Mus musculus: one gene and its partner. The protein of the gene in region 1 interacts with the protein of each later gene in a biochemical or structural test. Links are inferred from orthologs where the notes say so. Each region holds a gene or a part of one and is shown in the gene's direction. Other genes may lie near its edges. The genes, in order: Ptpn11 and Cav1.

Evidence for each region.
Region 2: the proteins of Ptpn11 (region 1) and Cav1 form a complex in vitro, tested with the Homo sapiens proteins (2 studies listed by BioGRID). The link is inferred for Mus musculus from reciprocal best matches to the Homo sapiens genes PTPN11 and CAV1.

The regions. Positions count from the first base shown.
Region 1 is NC_000071.6:121,133,627-121,143,211, reverse strand, and holds part of Ptpn11 (tyrosine-protein phosphatase non-receptor type 11), read left to right. Parts: intron 1-57; coding exon 58-209; intron 210-5,682; coding exon 5,683-5,795; intron 5,796-8,385; coding exon 8,386-8,455; 3' UTR 8,456-8,476; intron 8,477-9,065; 3' UTR 9,066-9,585. UniProt on the Homo sapiens protein: Acts downstream of various receptor and cytoplasmic protein tyrosine kinases to participate in the signal transduction from the cell surface to the nucleus. Positively regulates MAPK signal transduction pathway. Dephosphorylates GAB1, ARHGAP35 and EGFR.
Region 2 is NC_000072.6:17,302,216-17,312,486, forward strand, and holds the start of Cav1 (caveolin-1), read left to right. Parts: upstream 1-4,119; 5' UTR 4,120-4,234; coding exon 4,235-4,264; intron 4,265-4,837; exon of another isoform or gene 4,838-4,949; intron 4,950-5,067; exon of another isoform or gene 5,068-5,103; intron 5,104-5,424; exon of another isoform or gene 5,425-5,665; coding exon 5,666-5,830; intron 5,831-10,271. UniProt on the Homo sapiens protein: May act as a scaffolding protein within caveolar membranes. Forms a stable heterooligomeric complex with CAV2 that targets to lipid rafts and drives caveolae formation. Mediates the recruitment of CAVIN proteins (CAVIN1/2/3/4) to the caveolae.

The DNA.
Region 1 (9,585 bases):
CTCTGTCCTTGCTGTGGCAGGCGGTGCTCCTGCAGCTTTAGGGTCTGTGCTTTGCAGGTGTGGACTGTGACATCGACGTTCCTAAAACCATTCAGATGGTGCGGTCCCAGAGGTCGGGGATGGTCCAGACAGAAGCACAGTACCGGTTTATCTACATGGCTGTCCAGCACTACATAGAGACGCTGCAGCGCCGGATCGAGGAGGAGCAGGTATGGAATGAGGCTCTGACACATGGCTCAGCTCCTGTCTGGACTCGCTCTCTTCATCTGGAAAATGTTGACAGTTGGCCTCCCTGTAAGCTGTGGTCAGCATCCACTGCCTCCCAGTTGAGGGAAGTGTGGTGCCATCATCATGAGCGGCAGTCGGCTCTGCCTTACAAAGAGGAAGTGACTTTCATATGCTAGGCTTAGAACTCAGGGTCCACAGTTTCCAGCCATTTCAGCTTTGCTCTAGATTGATCTATTCTGATTCTGCCTTGTAAAATGAATGCCTTATTTCTAATAGAGCGTGGCAGTTTGAGCCACTAATTTGGCTGCATTGAAACAGTGAATTTCAATTTTAATAAGCTATGCATAATGAAGAGTGTGCAGTTGGAGCCTTTCCATGTGAGACTATTCATAACAGACACAAAGCTGAGCTAATTAGGATGCGCCAAGCTGAGGGAGATGAGGAGAGCCGTTCTTTTGGGGAGCTTTTCTTATTCCTTTCCCAAACCCTGTTGTGCTGCAGCAGATGGGTGGTGTCTAAACACCAACCACGGTTGTCCTTTTTATTGCTATTGCTTTCCAAAAGCCCAGGAGAGGGGACTTGGTGCGTGTCATAGGGTAGCAGGCTGTCTCTTAATGAGTAGCTTAAAAAAAAAAAACAGTGATCATCTCGCTGTATAGCCCTGGCTGACCTGAAATCAGTTTGTAGATCAGGCTGGCCTTGAACTCAAAGATGCACCTGCTCTGCCTCACAAATGTTATGATTAAAGGTGTGCGCCACCATGCTGGCCTGGAAGAGTAGGGAGAACCGCACCATCCTCCTTGAGAGCCAGAGGCGGGCCCCTTCCTGAGTTTAGGTACTCAAGTAGACGCGGGGTCAGGAGGTCACATGATTGATTAACAAGCCACCCATCCCCAACTTTAATTTTTTAAATATGAATTCAATGTAAGCAGTTTTTTGTTTTTTTTTTTTGTGGTGTTAAAGAGCAAACCTACGTACGGCCTCATGCACGCTAGCTCAGAACTCTGCCCCTGAGCTGCACCCCAGAGCCTCATGCACACTAAGTTAGCACTGCACCACTGACCTGTACCTCCCACCTCTGAACCTGGATGGCTGCCCTAAAGTTCTTTTATACATGTCTCCCAGTTTACACTTAATTGGGACCACTCATAGTTTAGAAGAGATGCTCAGGGAATAAATAAAGAGCTAGCACATGGTTGCTCAGCCTGGTCAGAAACATTCAGGAGATTCTGTCATCTTGTCGGGAGAAGTCCTCTGTACCATTTGGGTTTGTATTTGAGTTGGGATTGAGGGTCTTTGGCTGCTCCCCATTGAGGGACTGCTGCTTGGAGCCTTCATATTGCTTCCTGGCACTGAGACTATTAAGACTGAGGCTGTAAGTTGGATTTAGGAAATAATTTTGGGGGAAAAGAATCTTATTTAGTAACTTGGTTGATTGTGGGGAAGGAGTATTTACTGATGGGGACACAAAGCATGTGTTTCAGTTACTTACATGTTAACAAGTGAGTGTCCTGCTGATTCCACCTGAAGGATGCAAGCTTGCACTCACTGACTCGCTCACTCATTCATTCATACATACAATCATTCATTCATACAGTCATTCATTCAGCTAATTCATTTTGATACTAGTATGTGTTAGCACTTTGCAATTGTATTAACTCAGATTTTGGAACTTGGAACTTTGGTGTTAAAAAAGTATATAGGAGGGATGGGTTGTGGTGGAACAAGCCTTTGAGGCCAGCACCCAGAGAAAGGACTAATCTCTAAGTTCAAGGTCAGCCTTGTTTACGTAGTATGCTCTAGGACAGCCAGAGCTACATAGTGAGGCCTATGTCTCAAAAATAAACATACATTTCTGCGTGTATGGTTTGGGCTGGGGGTGTAGCTCACTTGGTTTGGAACTTGCCTAGTATACACAGAGCTATGGTTGGCCCCATGTAAACCTGAAGTGCTGGCATGTGCCTGAATCTCAGCACTTGCGAGACCAAGATGGGATCAGAAATTCAAGGTTGTCTTTGGCTGTGTATTGAGTTCCAGGTTAGTGAGAGCTATATAGGACGATATTGCAAAAACAACAAAGCAACAGTGAAAAAGAAAACTACCACTGCACACAAAAGAGTCAACTGCACACAAAACAGTCAACTACCTGTCTCCCTGCTTATTTTTAAATTGAATTTCAATGTGTGTGAGCCTGTGTCCATGTGTAGAAGGAGGAGGAATCAGACCCCTTGCACCAGGATGTGCACTGCCCAGGGTTGCTGATGGGAACTTAGCTTTCATCTGCAGAAGCACTTGCGTCCTTAACCACTGCACTATATGGCTCCAGCCCAAGCCCAGCGGATTCTTAAATTAAGCAACAGGACAAAACTCATTTAGTATAATGAATTAGTTCAAAATGTAGCCATCTTCCAACTTTGGATGAGTTAAGCCCTTTGGGAGTAAAAGAATTGCTAAATGAAAACAAAGTGGCAGTTGGGTGGAGAACCGTGGGGAAAGAGGCGGAGTGAAACAGAGGAAGCGGGCCAGCAAGAAAGAGATACACAGAGGGGCGAGCAGAGAACGGGACAGAGCACCGTAGGGACAGTCCTGAGTGGCTTATTAAGACTGCCTCTTGTGCTGCAGGGCTTTTTGTTTGTTATTTCAAGACAGAGTTTCTTTGTCTGTACAGCCCTTGCTATCCTGGAACTTACTCTGTGGACCAGGCTGGCTTCAAACTCACAAAGATCTGCCTGCCTCTGCCCCGCAAGCACCGGGATCAAAAGTGGCACCACCAGTGCCCAGCTGTGCCACTGCAGATTTGTTGAGAGGTTTTTTTTTTGTTTTTTTTTTTTTTTTAATTTTCCATTTATATTAGTAAGTACTTTATTTGCAAAAGCAGTGTGTGGAGTGCGTGGTATTTCTTTTACTCAACTTCTGAACACAAGCATTTATTTTTTTCTTCAAACTTTATTTAATATACATAATATTTAAAAAGGGAATGTTTATAACTTACATGAGTCTGTACCTCTTTGCTTCTAAGTGCATTGGTATATATTTTTTAAAAAAAGATGTTCTGTTACATCATCATGATTCAGTTACTAAGTTGGGGGAGCAAATTGAAAGCTCTGTATAATCTGCAGGTCAGGGCTGGAGCCCAGCGTGTGAGCATTTACTAGGCTCCTGGGGTCCATCCCAGTACAGCACACAAGCTTGCCCAGCATGTGTGAGCACTTATGTAGCTTGAGGCAAGAAGGCTGGGAATTCCAGTCTAGCCTGGGCTATGTTAGACCTTTTCTTGATAAAACCACAACCAAACAAGAAATTAAACATATGTCTTGGAAATACAGCTCAGAGGTTAAGGATACACACTGTTTTTATAGAGGACATGATGGCAGAGGGCTCAAAACTGCAGGTAACTCCACCTCTAAGGGATCCAGTGCATGTGTGTGTGTGCGCGAGTACACACACACACACCTCATGGTGACTTCCTCATGTGCACACACAGACATAAACACAACTCAAAAAGCTAAAGTAGGCCATACTCCACATTCAGATTTTTCCAGTTTGTCTTGCTGTGGTCAGGGTCACATGGTGTGTATAGCATTCATGTTTGTTTCCTGTCTTTCATCTGGAATAGTTTCTATGTCATACTATTGCTCTTGCTCCATACTTGGGACATTCCAGGAGCTGTCAGTTGCACCCTGCAGCTGAGACTCAGGCTGTGCTGTGCCAGGCCCTTCTGCACCACTCCAGTACCTTAGGGCTAAGTTGATTCAGGACAGTCAGGTCAGCTCTGCCTCTTGAGAAGATGATGGTGAGGTTTCTTCACTGGGAACTTACAGAATCAAGGCTAGCTGGGCATGGTGGCACATGCCTTTAATTCCTATAGTGCAGAGACACAGAGGCAGGGGGATTTCTGTGAGTTCCAGGCCAGTCAGGGCTATATAATGAGACTCTGCCTCAAAACAAAAATACTGTGTCTATGTATTGAGAGTGTACAGTGTATTTTGTGTGTGGAAATGCTATGGGATGATTGTCATGGTTAGTTGGTTAGTGTGCCCAGCACCCCACAGTGCATGCTGAGGTGGTGGAGTCTACTCTCAGCAGAGTTCAAGTTTGCTCTACCTTGTCCAGTCCAGTGCTGGGCATGAGGCTTCCAGAGCCCGTGGAAGATGTTATGTCTGAAGATATGTACTGTGGTCAGTGTCTCCCTCCTGCCACAGTCCCCAACAGCCCCTGCCCTAATCACAGTTTGTAGAAGTCGGGATGCTTGGTGAGCCTTCCAATTCTGGATTGGAGTTCATTCATTTCATATGGTCAAGTTGACAACCAGGAATAACCACTGCAGGTTAGAATCCTGTTCTTCCTGCCCCCTCCTCCCCAGTTCTGGGATGGGGATGTGCACAGCTCCCTCTCCTTGCTGCTCAGTCTCCCAGAATGGAAGGTGTCCAGAGTGAAGAGGGTGGCCACGCAGGAGCCTCACTTTGATTGGATTTGTTGTCTGTGCTCTGGGAGCACATCCATGGATAGTGTGCAGTGGCCATTGACTCTTCACATAGTGTACCCATGCCTAAGCATCCCAGGGCACTTGGTCTTAGACATGAAGCCTGTAGATTCTCATGTTCCTTGAATAAGAACTACTCATTCCTCCTGTGGTCTTCATGTAGCCCAGGAAGGCCTTGAACATAGGGAAGTCTGCACATGTGCAGTACAGGTGCATTGTTATGGATATTCACTGCATGGAGAGCCGACTCTGCAGGGCTGTCTGCTCTCTACACACATGGCATGTGTGAGCCTTTATACATGGTGAGATGAGATTACATTCCTGTTGTTTGCTCTGTTGGTTTCCTTCCCCTACCATTTCATCTTAGGGTGCTGTGGTTGAGATGGCTGAGCACATCTCAACATTGTGGGAGGGCTCTGGGTGCCATCGCCAATACTGCTAAATACATAAAGTGCATTACTGTGCCTTCCATCCTTGCACACAGTGATAGAGCTCTGTGCTGAAGCAGGAGTAGTGCCTCTAGCCTGTGTCAGTCAGCAGTTCCTTGCAGCTCTGGGGGCTCTGAGGGTTGTGGTTGCAGCACACTCCTCCTGCAGGTGCCGTGAGCTCCTAACCATTTAGTCAGCATGTTAGTGTTCTTAAGAGTCTGGCCTGTGGGCTGGAGAGATGGCTTAGCAGTTAAGAGCACTGACTGCTCTTCCAGAGGTCCTGAGTTCAATTCCCAGCAACCACATGGTGGCTCACGACCATCTGTAATGGGATCTGATGCCTTCTTCTGGTGTGTCTGAAGATAGCTACAGTGTGCTCATATAAATAAAAATAAGTAAATCTTAAAAAAAAAAAAAAGAGTCTAGCCTGTCCATCTGCCTCTTTTTTTTTCTTTTGATAAAATAGCTTTTTTGTTTCTGTATTTTTCTAAAAATCATATCCACAGTCCTCCTTACTTGTATTTTTTTTTCCTTAACTTTCAGAAAAGCAAAAGAAAAGGACATGAATATACCAATATTAAGTATTCCTTGGTGGACCAGACAAGTGGTGATCAGAGTCCCCTGCCACCCTGCACCCCAACGCCACCCTGTGCAGAGTAAGTAGCGATACGGCGGCAGCGTAGGTCTGGTAGAAGCTTAACAGCAGTTGCTTGCAGTATTCTCCTCAGGCTTGCTTGCTGCCCACTGATGGTGCATGGGGCGGTGGGGTCCAGGGACTCTCTAGGGCTCATGGTTGCAGGGCCCCTAACCAGTAGGCACGTGATGGGCTCTCCAGGATCCTGTGGGGCCCTGGGCATGTTAGGTAGGGTTCTCTGGGGAAAATCTAATTTTCCTTTTGCAGGGAGCATTATTTCAGTGGGAAGCGCTGTCCCTTACAGTGTGGAGACTCTTAAGAATAAATAAACTCTCTGTTCATGTGTGGACATGACTATGATCTGCCAATCTTCCTGTCAGTCAGGGTTTTTAAACCAAGGGTCAGAAAGCCAGAGCCCATAGGCTAGCTTTGCTTTTTAAAGGAGTTCTTATTTAAGACAAACAAACAAACAACCCCAAAAACCTGACAAGCCAACAGTTGCATGGGGACAGCTATCCCAGTAGGAAATGGCGAGCAATTACGAATGGGTGTGCTGTAAAAGAAGCTGCAGGTGGCTTACGGACATGCAGGAGAGGCTCATTTTCCTTGGTGGCCAGCAAACACGAAGGGAAAGCTCAAAGTTCTTTTTTTTTTTTTTGGGGGGGGGTTCGAGACAGGGTTTCTCTGTATAGCCCTGGCTGTCCTGGAACTCACTTTGTAGACCAGGCTGGCCTCGAACCCAGAAATCCACCTGCCTCTGCCTCCCAAGTGCTGGGATTAAAGGTATGTGCCCCCAACGCCCGGCTTCAAAGTTCTTTCCACCAAGCAGAGCCACCAAGCAGTACCAGCAGGGGGTGTCCAGTGGTGGTGAGGACAGTTTTTAAGGAACGGCTGTTATATAGTGGTGGTTCAAGCACATTGGTTCAGCTCCACAGGACAGCTTGCCCCAAACTGCAGCCAGAGCCTTCTGAACACACTAAAATTTCTGACCTTGAACTTGGAGATTGCCTCTTATGGAAGTGCTCAGATCTCAGGAAAGATTGTGTTCCAGAGGCATTCAGTATGATGCCATCTTAACGGTTTGTACATCTGTGACAGAAAAGTGTGACATTTCCAGCATGTGAGTTCAACTAGAGACCCACTTAGAAGCAGAAAGGGCCCAGGCCCTATTAGTCAGACTCCAAGTAGGACTGAACTTAGGACAAAAAATGGAAAATAATCCCTGGTGCTCACTGTTGTCACCGACAACAACCCTGTGCAGCAGCGGCTTGGAGGGCTCAGGTGGTAGAGTATGTAACCAGCGGTGTGGCCATGCCTGTCTACATCATTCTCTGTGTCTGTTAGACAGCCTGCTTACAACTCGTGACGTCAAAGTGTCTTAGGCCATGTTGGGGTGAAACACCCCAGTTCTCTGAGCTGGCGCTCTATAGCCTGCCACTGAAGGCTCCTGGGAGCAGCAGGACTCCAGTAGAAACCACATTCACATTCTGGGAGACCCAGGTCCCTGCAACTTAACTGACAGTTTCCAGGGCTGTTTGGCCAGGATAGGATTGAGGTCTGCTGTGACCTCACTCTGTTCCTCCTGTCACCTCAATGCTTGATGTCTGCAAGGGCTCAGGCTTACATGTCTCACACCGTAGCCCCTTTACCCCTCATGTACCCGGGAAAGGAAAACCCCAAGGCGTAGCTGACAGAGGCCGTCTGACCAGTAGGGTCATCATCACCCATTGGTCATCACCACCCATTGGTTCTTCAGAAGGGCTTTGGCAGCTCCTGGTTTAAAGTAGGACACGCAGGGCAGTATCTGTTAGCCAGTCATGTGCTAGCAGCTGTGCTGCCTGTAGCCCAAGGTTGCTCTCCGCCATAACATTTACCTTTCCTTCCCCTGGAATCCCACTTGTTTGCTTCTGCCGTGGGCTTTTAAAGCCCCGCTGACTTTAATATTGGCTCTACTACGCAGCTCTGAGAGCAGATAGAGGCCTGTGTTTACATTCTCTCTCTGTTAAACACAGAAATGAAATTATGTGGCAAGGGTGTTCTCTCCTGAGTCACCTTGTCCCTTCCTGCTTTCCTCTGCCCCAGCAGGCTGACTGGAGACACTGGTGTCTTATACAGTTAGCTGTGGTAACTTGATGGGGAGCCAACATCCTTCCTATGAAGCTCACCCATGACTGACAAGCAACTCTGCCACACCCTTTTTGTTGTCCCATGTAGTATGCACACCTCAGATCCTGGCCCTGGGGCTGCTCAGGATCTGTCCTCATGTCCCACACGACCGGCTGATTCTGTTCTTTACAGAAGGAGGCTGGGCCCGCAGATGTGTTAGTTCATCCAAGGCTCTTAGGGTGACCGGAGCCCTCACTTGTGATGCTTCTGGGGAAATGGCCACCGTTCCCATCTGTGTGCATGACCCAACTCCTCCCCTGCCCTCCAAGCTGCCTGCCCTCCATTCACACTCCAAAAGGCAAAGGACTCGAGGCCCCTGCTGCTTTTCCCACTTCACGTGTGTGATGTCTGTTTTGAGAGTCAGCTCCAGAGTGGGAAGGGGGTCCGTCTGAGCATAGCTGGACATGGCAGTTCAGGTTAGCGTCTTCCTTCTTCTCTGTCTGCAGAATGAGGGAGGACAGCGCCCGAGTCTATGAGAACGTGGGCCTCATGCAGCAGCAGAGGAGTTTCAGATGAGCCCACGGCGACAGAACGCAGGTATTGAGTGTCACGGCTTTCTCTGGGGCGGATTCACAGCAGTCTAGACAGACGGGTGATTTGTGCATGCCAGAGCAAGATGTTCTGTGACTGAGTTGTGCAGAGCAGCCTCTTTTTCTTTGCCTTGGCCCTCTCCAGCCTGGGTTTGGTATACAGTTCATGGAGCATTAAGTCAGATCAGTTAACTGTGTGGGGATGGGGCTGGCCCAGCAGTTGACAGGGATGTAGTGGACTTGGGTCGGTCCATGTCTTGGCATCAACAGCAGGGGTGCTTCTGAGGGTGTGGGGTCCCAGGCTCCCCTGAGTTTTGATTGAGTCATTTTCAGTGAGGTGTGAGGTGTGCCTCCCTGGCTTCTGTGGTAAGTTAGAAACACACAGTATGGCGTCCCAACGTTGACATTTCTGGCAGCGATGATGTAGCTCAACTGAGAGCATTTATTCAGCATGTGTGTGTGTGTGTGTGTGTGTGTGTGTGTGTGTGTGTGTGTGTGTGTGTGTGTGTGTGGCATGCCGGCTTCAGTGCCCAGCACCCCTCAGAGAAGATGTATAGATGTGTGCTCCCTAAAAGTCTAACGTGTTTCTTTCTCAGATGTGAACTTTCACCCCTTTCCTAAAATGTCAAGACTAGACGAGCGTTCCCAGGACCCGTGCGTGCGTTCAGAAGCCGGCACTGGCTGGACTGCCTCTTGAGAAGCGAAGTTTGGAACCATTTGAACAGCACGTGCCTAATTGGCACCTCCTTTCCTCAGCTAAGGAGAGACTGCTCTGCGTTCTTGACAATGCTATTTTCATAGAATTGGTTTTGAATTGTGGAAGCAGCTAAATTGTGCTCTGTATTTTCTACATTATGGGACTCAAATTCTAGTTATGGGCAGGATTTTGTTTTTTTTTATGACCTTAACAGATCTGATTTTTTTTTTCTTTCTCTCTCTTTGGGGAATCATGGGCCCCTTGTAAGAAGAAAGGATTTAGGGAGATTCCGGCACAGCCTCCCCAAAAGCCAGCCGTCTGTAACCCACTGTTCATCTTGCTGCTCTGCACAGGGCTCCCAGGGCCCTGGCTGGAGACTGCTTAGGGTCATCATCATCACAGAGGCTCACTGTTTAGTT
Region 2 (10,271 bases), on another chromosome or scaffold:
ATAAAATGGTCCCACATGCCCATAGATTTGAATGTTGGGTTATTAGGGAGTAGTCCTACTTGAAAGTGATTTGGAGGTGTGACTGGGGATGGGCTTTGGGGTTTCAAATGCTCCAGCCAGGCCCAGTGTCTTTCTTTCTCTTCCAGCTGCCTGCAGATCTAGATGTAGAACTCTCCGCTGCTTCTCTAGCACCATGTCAGCCTGCATGTCTCTGTGGTTCCCATTATAAGAAAATGGATTAAACTTTTGAAACTGTAAGCAAGTCCCAATTAAATGCTTTCTTTTGGAAGAGTCGTCATAGTCATGGTTTCTCTTCACAGTAATAGAACACTTACTAAGACATTTTGTGAAGTAAAATGTGTCCATTCCATTATTGAATTTGTGGGCTAAACTCTGTCCCTGAGGGTTAGTGGCATCTATTACAATTTAGGTAATTGCACCAATATTTTAACTGTGTCATCTTATGGAATGTTCTCAGCAATCTCGATGGATATGCATCAATTATGTCTTCCATTTTTAAAAACTAAAGAATGTAAATCTAATTAGAAACACTCTCCGGGCATCTTGATCAGAAAAACAAAGATATAATTTGCTTTGTTTTTTTTAATAAACAAATAAATAAATAAATATCATTAAAATACTGAAAGAAAAGCTGGGCATGACATGCCTATAAATTCCAGTATTTGATAGGTGGAGGCAGGAGATGAGAAGTTCAAGGCCAGCCTTCTCAAATACATTGATATTTGATGATGAGGAAGAAGAAGAAGAAGAAGAAGAAGAAGAAGAAGAAGAAGAAGAAGAAGAAGAAGAAGAAGAAGATGATGATGATGATGATTCAAGCAAAGAAGTTCCAGCTAGGCTCCCTGTCAGACAGGGAAGAAAGGAATCAGCAAGGTAACAAATCTTCAGTCAGAATGCTGTTACTTTCCAAGTGAAATCCATGAAATTAGGGAAGAAGACCTCCATGGAACCTGGTAGACAGAGTAAGTAGAGGAAAGCATATGAGGGCTACCAGCCAATTAGCAGTGCTGGGAGGAAAGCCTCTGAGATATAGCTCAAGTCTGGAATGAGTGGTAAGTGACTTTGCCATAGTTACACACACACACACACACACACACACACACACACACACACACACACACACACACAGAGCCATTTACCATTTACAACCCATTCCCAAATCTCTTTTCTAAGCTGATTATGAAATATTGAAAGATTTGCTTGTTTGTTTGTTTGTTTTTCCTTTTGAAGATGTATTTATTTTCTTTTGTCTGTAGGAGTGTTTGCCTGCGTGTATTTGTGCACACCAAGTGAGTGTCAGTGCCAGAAGAGGGCCGAGGATCCCCTAAAACTAGGGTTATGGACAGTGTGATCTACCAAACCCAACCCAGATCCTATGCAAGAGCAGCAAGCTCTCATAACCCTCCTTACCTCTAATCCATCGCTCCAGCCCTGGATTTTAAATCTTAAGACTATTAGTATTGCTTAACCTTAGGCTTCTAACCAGAGAAGAGAAAAAAGATAGAACTAAACGAAAAGAGGAAAAAGACTCAGTGTCATGAGAATGGGAAAGATAAAGCACGGTAGGAAGATGGGCCTGGAAGAAAGGCAGGGCGAACACAAAAAAAGCAGCTAATTGTTATTTAGCCACAAGCAGATCCTGTGTCCTGGAACTTAACAAGTGCAGTTAGTTGTCAACTTAGAAACAGTTTATTTTCCTCAGGAGTGTTAGTGTATCCAGACATCAGTGTCTTTATGTCTAAGATAGCGGGATTAGATGACCATTACCATGTTTAGTTAAGTATCTCTACTGATGCAGAATCCTCAGGCTTTTAAAGTTGCATCTGACATTCGAAAAATAGCAAATAAATAAACTGTAATACTCATTTCCAGCAAATGATTTAGAGAAAGCTATTAACTTTCCCTCAAGCCCAAAGTCACATGTGTGAATATCAAAGAAAAGGATTATTTATATCACCTATTCACTTAAATCTCATACCTAAGTTAGCAGAGTTAACTTCTCATGGGGTCAGAGTCATTTCTCCCAGTCAGCTGTCACAAGACCTTAAGAACTGTTTCTCTGTAGCATCTGTGTCTTGTTGAGGTGGGTCACCTAAACAGCTATCGTTTTTCTAGTCATTGCGGATTCATCTTGGCATCCAGAGCACTCCCCTAATCTTTATGATTCCAGAGCCGCTGTTGACTTGACTTGGATATGGGCTTTCCCCTGGAGGTGGCTTTCCCTCTGCTGGTTTAGGTAGGCATCCACTGAAGGACCTTTCCAGAACTTCTTTCTGCCGGGAATGCAAGGCAAACTCGTCAGCTTGAAACAATGGGTGGGAACCAGTTTCTACGTTTTTCCCTAGAACAGAATCCTAATGGCCTCGAAGCAAATATCTCTGAAAGACAATGCAGATAGTAGACAAACGATATCCTAAGAGATCTTCAGAGGTAGCTAAGGCAGCTACATGGAACCAGAAGGCCTTTTCTGGCTTACCGTGTAGGTTGACACACGAGTTGATAAAAGATTTTGGAAAAGTAATTTAGTAGAAATAAAACTAAGGAGACTAGCCTTTGAAAAGACCTTTAATCTCATAGGGAACAGCCAGCATAAGTTACCTAACCTTTACCACACCGACTTTCCCCTGCCATTCCTGGTTAAAATTCACCCTTTTATTTTTTAACAACATACTGCTAACCACCCTCATTAGATTAGTATGACAAATGCAAGTGCTGAAATAGCACGCCGTTCCCATTAGCTATGGGTGTCACACCCTGATAAAAATAAATAAATTATTCATAAATAATATATTTATAATTTATAATAAAATGTATTATAAATTTATAATTAATCAAATAATTAATTAACAATTGCTTCCCTATCAGCCGGGGACCCAGGTTACTGGTCTTTTCAGGTCTTCTTTCCAGCTAGATGATCAGTTCTTTCAGGGTTCCATTTTATCTGTTTTCAAGCCCTGGGATTCCTCTTCATCCTTCTCATGAGCCCGTGCTCCTGCTTCTTGGAAACAATTTTAAAAATGTACTCTCTGTCCTTTCCAGTGTGCATTGGGAGTGTTTGCATAGGAATGCTTAGGTAAAAATTTCCTTTCATCCTTGAGGTGGTGGGGAGTAAACTGCTTAGTTACTGTCTCTAATTAGTTACTCTTTCCTTTAGTAAAAAGCAACTATAGTTTATCTTATTTTTCCTTACAATAAGACAAAGGAGGCTGGCCAGCTTTTGAAACTGATATTTTAGTTGTTAACTTAAAAAGAAAAACTACTTTGTCAAAAAATAAAACAAACAAACAAACAAACAAAAAACATTCTCTCACAGTCAAGCACATATTCCTGCGCTTGGATCCTCTATGGCAGAGGATGTAGTTCAGTGGTAGAGTGTTTAATCTCCAGGCAGAATACACAAAGCCCTGGGTTCGAACTCGTCGATCTTGAGCCAAGAAAAAAAAAAAAAACAAAAAAAACAAAAACAAAAACAAAAAACTCTCTAGTAACAAGCTTGAACCTCTAAGTAAAATTTTCTGCAGTTGAAAATACTCAAAGTGCTTATGGTTACTGTATAACCTGCTGGTAGGGATTTCATTTTCTTTATTGCAGAGGCGCCCACACAGATTGCTTCGTTGTGTTTATATTTAAAAAAAAAAAAAATGTTCCCTCAGGTTCCCAGCCATCTCGCTTCTATATCTTTCTCTGTGAAACAAGGAGACAGATCAGTTCTACGTGGGCGAATTGGGAGGGGAGGCAGCTTAGGACAGGGCAGAATTCTTTCTGCAGAGCCGGATGCCCATACTGGGCATCTCTGCAGACTCTTGGGCTCCCTCCACCCCTGCTGAGATGATGCACTGGGAAAACACGCGCTCTCCCCTGGATGCCTCTCTGTAGGTTTATAGCTGGGAAAACGTTGCCTCGAGTCTAAAATATCTGCCCAAACTGCCTAGCTCTGATGAAGGCTTTCTCACAGGCTCTCAGCTCCCCGCCGGCACTCCCCGCCCTCTGCTGCCAGAACCTTGGGGATGTGCCTAGACCCGGCGCAGAGCACGTCCTAGCCAACTGAGAGCAGAACAAACCCCTGGCGAACAGCCAAGAGGCTCCCTCCCAGCCACCGCCCCCCGCCAGCGCCTTTCCCCCCTCTATACAATACAAGATCTTCCTTCCTCAGTTCTCTTAAATCACAGCCCAGGGAAACCTCCTCAGAGCCTGCAGCCAGCCACGCGCCAGCATGTCTGGGGGCAAATACGTAGACTCCGAGGTAGGCTTGGGTGAGGGCTCCAAAGTGCCTGCTTTTGCTATCTTCCACTCCAAATGCTCGGACTGCTTTCCTCGCCCCAGCCCGCTCTCCACCTTCGCGGCACTCGAGCTGGCACCTTGGAGGAATGGGCTGGGTGGGGAGGTGAAAAGCTAGGAATGTCTTAGGGCTTCCTTTTGGAGAGGAGACCAATGGAGCCAAAAGGGGAAAGAAGGAGACCCGGTCTGCCAGACTTAGAAAAGTTTTCCAGATGACACGTTCGCGAGACCCCACTGCGGTCCAGCCCGTACCTACTGGGAGGCTTAGGGCTGCTGCTCAGTGTGTGTGTGTGTGTGTGTGTGTGTGTGTGTGTGTGTGTGTGTGTGTGTGTGTGTGTGTTCGGGGGAAGGAGATTCATTTGGACAGTGTCCCCCCACCCCAACCCCCCAGGAGCCTAAAGTGGCTGGCTTGGGCAGCGGCATGCGTGTATTGCACTTAGCGAAGTTCTCGAGAACTTCAATAGTTTTTTCTGCCCCTGAGAGGCCCGGGCGGGGGGAGTTCCGAGGTGGGGGAAGCCTCCTTCCTCCCTCACAAGTACCACCGCCATTGTCAACTCCTTCTTGGCACTCAGGTGGACTAAACGTGGAGACCCCGGTTCCCAAATAGGGCTACGATTCAGCTTGGAGTAGACAGCCTGAGAGTGATCTAAGTAAGGGTGGGTCAGGCAGTTCTTCAGATGGCATGTCCTCTGGGGCATGGGGGTGGGGGTGACAGGTCTTGGCACATGCCTCAGCCTAAAGAAGTATGTTAGATTGTGAGCCACTTATTCACCCCCACGGCCTAAGAAAAACCAGGGAGTAAAGGTGGGTTTTAAAAGGGGGTAGGGGCTGTGGCAGGTGCAAGGAAGAAGCACGGAGGGACAGTGAAGATGGGACCATTACGTCTGTCAGTTTGGTCCAGAGTGATCTTGATAATGTTGAAAGGGACCTTAGGACAGTGTTAAGGGTTAAGAGAGGGACCACGGAGCAGGTGAGGTTGTGGGGTCATAGGTCTGGCGGAGAGAAGGAATACAGAGGAGGAGGAACGGGAACCCCAGCCCCTGGGCTGGGGAGTCAGGGCCGAGAGCCGTGGGGAGCAGGAGGGCGCATGGGACTTCGCCCTGACCCCTGGCGGCGGGCGCGGGAGGCAGGCGCTCTCTGCCTGGTACCGAGGGGTGTGGTGTCCTCCGCTCCGTCCTCTTAAAAAGCTTGCAGCGCTGGAGTTTTCTGTGTGCAAGCCTTTCCTTCGAGGTTGAAGCTAGCAAAAGTTGTAGCGCCAGGCTACCCCCGCACAGCCAGGCTGACTCTTGACTCTTGTTTTTCTTTCTGAACTTTTCTTCCCACCGCTGTTGCCGCCCTCCCCTGGCTTGGCCGGTTGCCCTCACAGGGACATCTCTACACTGTTCCCATCCGGGAACAGGGCAACATCTACAAGCCCAACAACAAGGCCATGGCAGACGAGGTGACTGAGAAGCAAGTGTATGACGCGCACACCAAGGAGATTGACCTGGTCAACCGCGACCCCAAGCATCTCAACGACGACGTGGTCAAGGTAAGCATGTTGCTGTCTGGGTCCCACAGTGTACTCTCCCAAGCTTTGACAGACAAGCACTCCTTTTTTGAGCTTGGCTGTGTGTGACCCCCTGCGGGTCTGGTGTCAGAAATGTCGCATCTGCCTGCCTCTTCCTGCTGGCAAGTTCAGCAGGAATTTAGCCAGTTGATGTGGGGGGTCCATAGAACCTTAGCCACGAGTGCCCCACCACACACATGCACATTACTTGGGAAGGGAAAATTATTATGGTCCATTGGCAGGTTAAAAGTCCAGTTACAGCTCTTTTCCATGTTGGTAAAATAATTGTGTGAGACTTTGTGCCACTGGTGAATAACAGAATACAGAATGAGCAGATTCTGTCAGCTAAATAATCTAAATGATTAGCATAAAAATATGAAATGAGTGGAACCGATAACATATGCAGATATGTGTACATATTTTGTATGTAGTGTATGTGTGTGTGTGTGTGTGGTGTTTTAACTATAGAAACATGGCACATGTGCAAGGGTAAGCTCATTTACCAAACTGAAAATCATTTCCACCTCTTGACTTCTGGATCCCTCTAGTTAAATGTGTGCGTGTGTGGTGACAGCCAAGGTCAGCCTGCCCTGGGCTAACAGAACTCAAGATTGGTGTTCCATTTTCAAGATGTCCTTGCTGAGATTTAAAATACCTTACTTTCCTGAGTTGTTGGTCAGCATAGACTTGACACAGTGGTCTGTCTGACTTTCATTATCATTTTGCTATTCAACTTTGACCCTTTCAACAATTCTGGCTCAAGGAATTTCTTGTCTGAATCTGAGTGGGTTGAGAAATCCTGGACTCGAGCTGTCCTTGGCAGAGGATTTCCTCTGAGTGGCCTGGAGGGCCAAGGAAAATCCTAGCTTCAGGGGTTCTAACGGAAGACACTGCCCTGCCCTGCCCAGCCCCTGATTCACCATTGAGGAGGTGATGCAGTTTCTACCCACAGCCTTCTATCTATGGATGGGAGGAGCTCCAGTACAGTTTCACCTTTATGAATAATATATTTCAGAGAGAGAGGCTTAATCTACAACTACAGGGAAAGTGTATCTGTCAAAATTGACTCCCTTGGTTTGCTGGTAGAAAAAAAGGAAAATTGGACCATTTTCTCTTGGCCACATTGTGGAATATTTAAAACCAGCAATGAAGGCACCTCATAAATTGGAAGTTAAGATTGCTAAAAAATCCGTTTATTAGCCACACTTCCTTAAAGGGGAAAGAGCAGTTTTCTTTTCACCCTTCTTGTGCTGCGTTGGTCAAAGAGGGAGACTCCAATTATAAAAGCAGATTTCATGATTACAAATTGGCTCCCTTCTATGGAGCCTCCCTGTTGTTGCAATGTGGATTCCCAAGAGCCAGAGAGCCTCCTGAGATGAGTCAGAAAGGCCAGCAGTGTGGATTTGGGTCCCCACACATAGCATGACTAAGTGGAGAGAGAAGGCCCCACTGGGAAAAGAGACTTCAACACAGATGGAAAAAAGGCATAACAGGCTTGGAGGAAATAGCAGTTTACAAAATACTACGTCAAGAGTGAGTGTGGAGCTCCTCAAATTAGAGAAATTAGAAGAGCTAGAGCAATACCTGCCTGCTTGCTCACAGGAGGAGCAAATCCAGAAAGACAGACAGACAAGAAAAAGCTAACCTTGAGAAAAGAATTTAGAAGAATTTAGGCAGATGTCCTGCCCAGGAGGTTATCTTCTGAAAGCATTTGTTTTGCAGAGAGAGACCCAGGCTACCCCTGCTCATAGACTCCTCCCCTCCCCCACAGAACTAGCTAGAAATTTTCCATCATAGAAATCTCTGCTGGACAGTGTCTTGCTAGAGTGTCCCCTGCTCTTCACCGATACCTTCATATCCAGTTGAATAACACAACTAAACAAACCTTCTATGTAGACAAGAAATGAGGCCCAGATTGAAGGTATAAAGAACACCATAGTCCAATTCGTCTCAGTCCTATGTATCAAGTGTGGAGGCATGGAAAGGCCCCAAAGGCTGCATGCTCTACACTTGCACTTCATCAACACAGAGCATGATCACCTAGCCCTCTGGCAACAAGAATATCCATTTCAATATAGAATCGATTGCCAATATAACTGTTTTCATATAGAGGCTTGACACTTCACATAACGGTGTATCTACATATATACAAAATATTATGATTTGAATGTTTTCTTAAGCTTCTTTTACCCAGATAGTTAAACGTTGGATTCACCATTCTTCCTCTGACATTTATAATGTTCATTCATTTGCTCATTACCCATGATTAGAATTCGAAAGTAAAAAAAAAAATGCATTAAAATATATGATCTTATTAATTGCTATTCAGCTTATTACAATGTTGTGATGTGTTAGGCTGGATTTTTATGATTTAGTTTTTAAAATAAGTCCAGCAGATAAAAATATTACTGTTAATACTGCTAATAAAACAAGAAAGATATGTACATATTACAAAAATCTTAATCTTGAACACACACACACACACACACACACACACACACACAGAGCCACAATGGATCCTTTAGTTTTGCCCTGACTACCAAGATACATGTAGCTCTATTATTTGTTTTATTAGCACAATTTATTTACTCTCCCCCACAGGTGGTTTTGTGTTCTCTCTCTCTATCTCCCTCTCTCTCCTGGCATGTAGTAATATGAGGCTCCATTGCACTGTCAACTGCATTGTCATTTTAGAAATAGACTAAATATGTGCTATGCTAAGTCAAAGTAAGTGGTATCGCATATTGCAGAATAAAATGTTCTCAAAAGTGATTGTCACTGATACTGTCAGGAAGATGTCACAGGAAGAGCAGCAGGTAGGTAAAAGATTCCTTAAATCCTTTAATGGAGGGGGTCAAGAGGAGCATGGGATCTGACCTAGGTGGGAGAGCACAGTCTATATGCAGAAGCTTAGGAGGGCAGGAGGGTGCACGGAAGGAGACCAGACTGTTATATATTGTATTTTGAGAATATTCTCTTCCATACCTTCTTACCCTCCATCTTCTCACCCCTCCCTTTCTTTGATCCCCCTAGACACTTCCATATTATTATTTTAAATAAAGTTTGATTACAATTTTTAATTTTTGAGATTATAATTATGCTCCCCTCCCCACTTCCCTTTCCTCCTTCCAGCCCCTCCCATTGTAACCCTTGACTTTTTCTCAGATCCATGGCTGCTTTTTCTTCAAATATATGTGCATATAAATTTCTAAACATAAAAATATAGCCTGCTCTGTCTATATAGTGTTGTCTGTGTATGTTCGCAGGGATATTTGGTATTAGATGATTAACTGGTATGCTGCTACCTGGGGAAGACTGTTTCCCTCACTCTCAGCATTCCTTAGCTGCCTGTAGTTTTTGTCTAGGGTTGAGGCCTTGTGAGTATTTCTATCCCTTAGCATGTCTACCATGTCATCCTTGCTAAGGTCTTGTTTAGGCAGCCATATTGGTGAGGCTTCATGGGTGTTGCTGCTCTGACGTTTCTAGGAAACACAGTGTCACAGCAACCTATGTATTCCTCTGACTCTTCTCATCTTTCCTCCCCCTCTTCCACCACAACCTCTTAGTATTAGGTGCAGTTGTTCCATGCAAATTTTAATATCTCACTTTGATTGGAGTCTAGGAGCTCATGTGGCATAGTAGAACACGATAAAAATGAAATGAGAGATTATAACCAAGTAGCAGAGTCCTGAATATCACACTCAGTTTAAGATTGTAGGCTCCCAAGTCCGCAGCGGGAAGCTGTGGCATAAATGAAGGATGGCGTTGATATGAGAAGCTAAAGTTTTGGAAAAGACTAGGGTTGAAAGCACAGCTGTGACGTAGCCATACTGGGTAAACAGGAAAGGGCTGAAATGCAAGTAGTCCACAACTCACCATGGTGCAACCTGATTATTCAGTTTTCCAGACTACAAAAATAGAGCAAATTCAGTAGGAGCTATGCTTCAAAAATTTGAATCTTGACCTTTTCCTACTCCAGCAGTGATATGTAGCACAATGGTCTCTTGTGATGCTGGGAGGTGGGAGTGAGACATAGCTCCCAGATAACCACACAATCCCAAAAAGAAACAACCACCAATACTACAGTATACCATGTGGCTGAACAATGGTGTTCACTGGGTTTGGTCTGTTAAATACATCTTTGACATGAAATATTCTCAACGTATAATGGACTTAATGATTCCATGGTGCAGATGTGATATGAAATGAATGATGCATACACTAGAGATAGAACCATCAGAGCACAAAACAACATAATTTATGGGAACGTAATGATTAGTTGCCTAGTTTCTAGTTCCCCCTTTTGGACATTAATAAAAAATTAGGGTTAATGAAGTTTTAAAAAGATCTCCATAGTTTCAAAACGGTGCTCAAGACAGATCTTTTGAAATGTACCACCAAAAAAGAAAGCATAAGATTACAT